2 linked regions of the Xenopus tropicalis genome follow. The protein of the gene in region 2 interacts with the protein of the main gene of each other region in a biochemical or structural test. Links are inferred from orthologs where the notes say so. Each region holds a gene or a part of one and is shown on either strand. Other genes may lie near its edges.

Region 1 (3,587 bases), on a different chromosome or scaffold from region 2:
GCAACTGCAGAATAAAAAACAATGGAAAAAAAGTATTAAGTGATCAGGAAGCATTCCGACTTGCAACCCTTGGAGGAAGTCAAGGTAGTTAAACATCTGTTCATTAACCACCACTGAGGTTTTTGAGTTTATGTGGAACATAAGAGAAAAAGGCTAAAATATGTATGGACCCATATGTATATGGGTGTCTAGCACAGACTCTACTTTTGTATGGCAAGATGGCATTGTTCCTCTGGAAAGAATGTTCTGGCAGACAGTCATGTATCTCTCTGTATCAATGTTAATTCAATCTCTCTGTATCTATGAATAAATATCTTCTCATGAGATCTGTTTTTGTACAAAGCAAAATAACTGAATGAATGAGCCTGTTATTCCCACAGCTTTGAATATTGACCACATAACTGGAAACTTTGAAATTAACAAGGAATTTGATGCCTTGCTAATCAGTCCTGAAATCCACAACAGCCCATTTGATGTGTTTTCTCAATTCTCCAAGGAGGTACTTACTATTAATATATATTATTAAATGAATTATCTGCAAATAATATATTATAAAATTGTTGTTTTTATGACATTAAAATCCAGGAGCAAGACTCACAGAGAACTTAATTCCTGCTCCATTTGTCATACTTTAGATTTGCAGAAATAGTTTGCCTGTTATTATGTGAAAAAGCAGCTCAAGTGTGCATGGGGGCCAGCCTGAATTCTTCAGTTTTAGATCTGTAATTAAAGCCTAATGTCCCTTAGTTAATACATGCTTTACCATACCTGAGTTAACAGCCCTAGAAGTGCCTTCTGTTAAAGACAATGGCTGCCATTTAAACTTGGTCTGACTTCACTTTCATGCCTGTATCTCAGTGCTCTGGGCTCAGATCACCGCAGAGAGGGGAGAACAGATCATATATTCAGAATAGAGGGAAAGAAATGTGGTGTTTCTTTTCAATGAGGAGCAGCAGTTCGATAAGAAATTATGGCTGTATTCACATAGACCTTTCTGATAAAGCTTACTTAGTTTTTACCTTTCCTTCTCCTTTAAAAGGAACAGTAATGCCAGGAAATGAAAATCTATTTAAGTAATTAAATATAATGTACTGTTGCCATGTACTGGTAAAAGTTGCATGCTTGCTTAAGAAACCCTACTATAGTTAATATACATAAGCTGCTGTGTAGCCATGGGGGCAGCCACTCAATTTGGAAAAAAGGAGAAAAGGCACAGGTGACATAGTAGATTACAAATAAAACACCATTGTATTCTAAAGGACTTAACTGTTATCTGCTGTGTAACCTGTGCCTTTTCTCCTTTATCCAGTTTGAATGACATAGTAAAGTATCTGGAACAAGCACACCCGTTTTACCAGTGCAGGACAACTGTACATTTTATTTCAATTATTTTAATACACTTTAGTTTTTTGGTGTTACTGATTTATATACTGCATATTAAGTTTGCAGTACAATTATATGAATAGTGATTTAATGATTACATTTCATGTTTATTTTTTTCCAGGACATGGTTCAGAGGTTTTTGTATTTAGGTAAGTATTTTATTAAAATATATTTTCAGGGCATACAGTGAATCCATATTTTGTTATATTTGTCCAAATACTGAATCTTCAACAAAAGAATTGGGTGGCCAGGCCAGGCTTCCTGATTCAGCCACATCCAAATCCTGCTAAAAATGGCTTGGATTTGGCCAAATCCAGGATTCCGTGCATCCCTATTTATTATCAGGGCCGGAACTAGGGGTAGGCAAAAAAGGCACCTAGGGAGCAACGGTGGGGGGCACCAGGCAGGTACCTCTTCTTTTACCTACCTCTTGTTTCGGACCCTTTCCCCCCACTGCAGCGGCCCTGGCAACCCTGCCACCCTGTGTGCATTGTGCGCTCATTTGCGCACGCGAGTGCACACACGGTGGATGGGGGCTGGTTGGGGCAGGGCCAAACTGACCAGGTTGCCTAGGCTGCCGGGTCAGCTTATCCCAGCATTGGTTATTATAACTAACCATTGCTAATAACTGATTGTTTGGTGTGGGTTACTTTTTTCACCTCCTCCCCAGTGATTGTTGACTTTAAGTAGGAACATTTCTTTTGCAACACCCAGACACTACTTTTTGCTTAGTTTTCCAAGAGAGACACAAAACAAGAACCAAAGCAAAACTATGGAATAAAAGTACCATACACATAAATACTAACCTGGTTTCCTTTAGAGCCATGCCTCTTGGCCATAGATGCTCTGCCAGACCCCAGTTCTGCCCAGGCTACTACACCCGGACAGTGCACGGCAAGGAGCACACCATGCGCCAACTGCATTTGATCCATCCAACACTTCTAGTAGCAGCACTTCCTCTCAGATCGTTTGCAAACTCTCTATTGTCCACCAGGCCCTTTACTAGGAATAGCCCATGCTTTCTGCTCCTCTCCATTCAAAATGGTCTCCTGTTGGAGAGGCAAGCCAGCCAACAGAATGCAAGCCTCTGTTGTGACAGGTTACACCAGTGCCTTCAGAAACTTGTCAGTGAGGCATTGCATAACACAGTTCTCGGGCCAGTCAGGTTAAGGTTTACTCAAGGGTGGCACATTGTAAAGATTTTGTTACATCACAACAATAGAAACGGTAAATCTGGACATTTGCCTATTTTTACAATTGAAGCTCCAGTGCTATCTAGCTAAAATATTAAACAAGTTATAGAACTTGTTATAAAAATAAACAATTTCAGTACTTTATATATAGTCTATTTTTTGTTGTTTAAGGTGATGACCGTAACATCAAAGCAGTGTATGTCGCAGGAAGACGCGTGGTACCTTTCCAGAACAATTCATGATTTCACAATACTTATTTTTTAAAGGACCGCATTATAACATATGTTAATTATGTCATAATGTAACATCATGATAATAAATGTATAAGCAATCATGTTAATAATACTACCAATATTACCAACAATCTTTTCTCCCAGAACAAGGCCAACTGAATATCCATTATTAAACTTTACTACTTTACTAATGTTATGAGAAATATTTTTTTAATCTTACTGTATTCAACTAAGCTACACTTTAAAAGCTACATTCTTCATTTTAAACACTAGGGGGCCAATTTATTAACTTTTGATTTTGGGTTTTGCAGTTCCTGATGTGGCCATTTTTCTTATCACTTTTTTTCCCATAAAATAATTGCAAAAAAACACCCAAAAATCTTGACACCAAAAAAACCTACAATCAACAAGAAAAACACAATTTTTGCTGCAAAACGTAGAAAAACTCAGCCTTGAATGGTAATAAAACAGCCCCTGAATGTCAGTTTATCCTTCTGCAAGAAATAAGAGACATGTTCATGTTATAGAGCACTAGCAATAAAGGGAATAACTTATAATACCTGCTATGTTATTTACTCTTGAATTTGCTTTGCCGATAATATATAAATCAATTGCGAGTGGGAAGGACAGCAGCCGCTGAACTTCAAGGGGAATTGCAATCAAGTGAGAGATAAGAAAGCTGCCTGTATCTCAAAACAGGTACAACATTTTTAACAGACATACATTACAAAGTTGTATAACGTGTACTGAGAACATATATATATATGTGTTTTTAAGA
Region 2 (3,733 bases):
TGGATCCTCAGGTGTATGCACAGCACAATACAGTTTTATATAAAAACAAATGCACTTTTTTTTTTATAAACACCCCCAGCCCACTGCTGGACACTTACAGCCCAATGCTGGAACTAGAGGCGGGAAAACAGTGCAACAGGAAGGGTGAAGATGGAAGAGAACTGTCTGAACCAAGCTGTGAGGGAGGTACCATGTGAATCCAGCAGGGGGCGGTGGGGAGCCATTGAACAATGTGGGGGAACAGATGGTCAAGCAGGGCACCGGGCCAAGTAGTATTGCCTTTGGTGCCAATAGGACTTGGGCCAGTTCTGTTTGCAGTTAAATTAGGCAACAGAGTGGTTGGGCATGACCCAATCAGGGCTGCTCCTGCCAGAAAGCAGTGAGTGGCCGACAAAAAGCTGCCTCTATTACTAGGACAGGGGCCTTCCTTCCACTGCTCAACCATAAAAGGCTGAACTTGACACCTCTGCAATGTAATTATATATATATGTATATATATCTATATACACACATGGTTGTGATTCATCCCATATGAATATATATCGTTACAAAAAGAACTTTTGCTCAGACACTTTATTGTTTATTGTACACCTCCAAAGGGCAAGTAAACACCTCCGTTTCTTTCCAAACAATCAGGATCATGAAACGTCCTCCCATATATATATATCTATATCCACACGCTAAATACTTTGTAAAATAATAGGTTCAAGTCCAGAATAAACCCCCCCAAATGCCCTTATTCTAATGCAGCTTAAAAAGTTGTGCCGGGTAGCTTAATTTCAATAATTAATAAAACTAGATACATATCTGCCTCTATGATCATTTATGAATATATATTAATATATTTATACAAACGCCCTAACCTGTGCTCCGAAGGGGAAACAATTAGACCAAATTGATAACTGATTGTAGAGCGGTTGTGCTGCTGTATAACAACATGGCGTGGAGCAGATATTGGGCATTTAAAGGCACAGTACTTTTGTTTTTCCCCAAAAACCCACTGTATATCAGAGAGACTGACCTGGATTCTCCCTGAAGCCATGGCATTAAACCTTTAAAAAAGAAATATATATATATATAAGGCACTATAATTCATGGTTAGGGAATCGGCAGTTTACAAAGAATAAAGACGAGAGGCTTCACATTTCCTTGCCATTAACTGTATCCAGACATAGTGAAATAGAAGTGGTTAATTCTGGCCATTTATGGTGTGTAAATACAAATATTATTTGTGTGACATTTTGGAAAGCTGTCCACTTTGGACTAACTCTCCAGCACCCCCTAGGGTTGGTTTTGGTTAGCGCTCGGCCGTGAGGTCCAAGATTGCCGCCACTTTCAGCGTTCTAGGTGAATAGGCCCAGTCGGGACACTTTGGCCGACAGGAAGGAGTGAATGATGAAGACAATGGTTTTTGGACAGGAGTGCAGGTCGAGTTGCTAGAAAAGAGTAGAAGTGTCAGTTAGTAAATAGATTCTGGAAGCCATATGCATGAATGTGGTCTGTATGTGTTTGACATGAGGGAGGAAACCCACACAGACACAGGGAGTATATATATCAAGGCCATGCTGCAATGCTAACTACAGTGCCACCTTACTTATGGAGTAGCACTCCATGCATTAGGCCACAGTCCATATCGGGGTTGCGGGTGGGACCTAGTACTGCCCACTTCAAAGCTGGCTAAAAGATATTAGAAAAAACCTTGCAATCCTAGGCTGACCTTCCATGTTGGGCCCCTAATGGACACAGGTCACAGTTGTGTATTTTGGTGAATTGCTGGCATTTAGAATTACTTGTCATCTGCCAGAGGTCTATGCCAGCTCCCCCTTGTGGGACCCCATTTCCACAAAATAGCTCTCCCTCCAAGCCGTGGTTGGGCAGCAGTCAGTGCTGGATTTCTGTTTAGGGCGCCCAGAGGCCGTCCCCATTCTCCGCCCCCCCCCTTAGAATCATTCGCATCCTTTGAGCTCACATATGGAGCACCTCAGTGCGGCTGGGCAGTATGCCATCCCTAAATTTATGCCTCCCTAGGCCCGGGCCTTGCCACAAATCTGGGCCTGGCAGCAGTTGTTACTGGCCTGACAGTTATAGGGGTTGTTCACCTTCAATATAACTTTTTAGTATATTATAGAATGACCAATTCTTAGGAACTTTTCAATTGGTCTTCATTATTTGTTTTTTTTATAGTTTTGGAATTATTTACCTTCTCTTTCTGACCCTTTCAAGCTTCCAATGGGGTCACTGACCCAGACAGCCTATAAACTATTGCTCTAAAAGCAATAATTTTATTGTTATTGTCATTTTATTATTGCTTATCTTTCTATTCAGGTTAAAAAACTACAAATAATTAAAAAATGAAGACCAAGTTCAACAATCCATTAAAAGGGCATCTAGGAGTACCACTATTAAGGGACATCTATCTTAGGAAATTTACTTGCCCTACTGAAGGTGCAGCCCAATAGACCCCGTGCTCTGGTTGGTGGAAACAGTACTATTATGCCCACTATGCCACCTACAATGGGTAGGAGACACACATGTACATAATGAGCTCATTGTGTGTAAGCAGATGAAGCCCAAACATGGCTGCCCACACTGGGAGCTCCTTTCCAACATGGATGACAAAGAGCTAGTTACAAGCATTGTATGGAGAGAATAGTATTGTTTCCCCCAACCAGAGAGTGGGCTTTATCAGTCCGTACCTTAGGTGTGGAACAGGTGTCCTTAAAGCGAAGCTATCAGACAATCATTTGCCTGTGATTGATATGAACTACTTGCTGTGGGCAGGGCAGATTCACTAAACTACCCCAGGCCCCCACAGGTAACATGTCTTGGGGGCCCCACCAAAATGGCCCCACGATTGATAATGCTGGCCCTGAAAGAGAATAATGAATAGTGACGGGTAGAGTTACATTTTCATACCGAAGACCATTGAGTACTTACAAGTTCTGCCTCGGGGTTGCCGAATTCCAGATAGAGAATTCTGACACCATCATCAGACGACATACGGAGCTTCTCGAATGGCTGGTGGAAGTGTATCACCTTGTTAAGGCCGGGTTCCTCCGTGAAGAGAGTGAAACCTTGATCAATGTGTATAGACAGGGCACACTCGTTCCCACCCCATGTACATGCTGCAGGGAGAGAAGAGATGTGTGTTTAGGCAGGAAATAACTTCTCCATCATATAACATATATATATAAAATATATTTGGGTGAGCAGACCCCACAACTGCTCAGTAAAGGCCAGTAAGTACCACAGACAGGATAATAAAGGGATGTTGGCCACTACGTGTGAGCATTGTGTAAAGGAAGGGGGCGATATTTAGTTTTTTTTTTTTATGCTGGGGGCCTAGGGCTATGAAACAACAACATACAGCTTTTCAGTCTGAAAAATACTCCCTAGAACATGTATGAGCTGTCAGAAGGGGCTGTTGTGTGTGCCATCAGCCTTAGGCAGTCAGACTGAAAAAACCCGGTGGGCCCTGGCCCTAGTGGGCCCCGGCGGCCCAGATCCGATCCCCCCCAGGGCACTCCCGCGATCCACAGTCTCCCTCCCCCGACGCGCCGCAGGAAAGTTTCTTTTAGAAGTGCTCAGGGGAGGGGGTCGGAGGGTGTTGGGGGCCTCGGCAGGGGTGAAGGTGGCAGGGACCATTGGGGCGGTGTAGGGGCCACTGAGGCAGAAGCCCCAGTTTGCCCTGCACCCCCCTAGTCCAATCCTGGCCTTAGGATTAATATAATAC

Evidence for each region. The genes of interacting proteins can lie anywhere in the genome.
Region 1: the proteins of snta1 (region 2) and gda interact in a test that uses a peptide from one of them, tested with the Homo sapiens proteins (2 studies listed by BioGRID and IntAct). The link is inferred for Xenopus tropicalis from reciprocal best matches to the Homo sapiens genes SNTA1 and GDA.

Annotation. Positions count from the first base shown.
Region 1 is NC_030677.2:130,514,180-130,517,766, forward strand, and holds the end of gda (guanine deaminase), read left to right. Parts: coding exon 1-84; intron 85-380; coding exon 381-499; intron 500-1,504; coding exon 1,505-1,532; intron 1,533-2,747; coding exon 2,748-2,818; 3' UTR 2,819-3,000; downstream 3,001-3,587. UniProt on the Homo sapiens protein: Catalyzes the hydrolytic deamination of guanine, producing xanthine and ammonia.
Region 2 is NC_030686.2:41,886,553-41,890,285, reverse strand, and holds the end of snta1 (alpha-1-syntrophin), read right to left. Parts: intron 3,126-3,733; coding exon 2,938-3,125; intron 1,437-2,937; coding exon 1,344-1,436; 3' UTR 559-1,343; downstream 1-558. UniProt on the Homo sapiens protein: Adapter protein that binds to and probably organizes the subcellular localization of a variety of membrane proteins. May link various receptors to the actin cytoskeleton and the extracellular matrix via the dystrophin glycoprotein complex.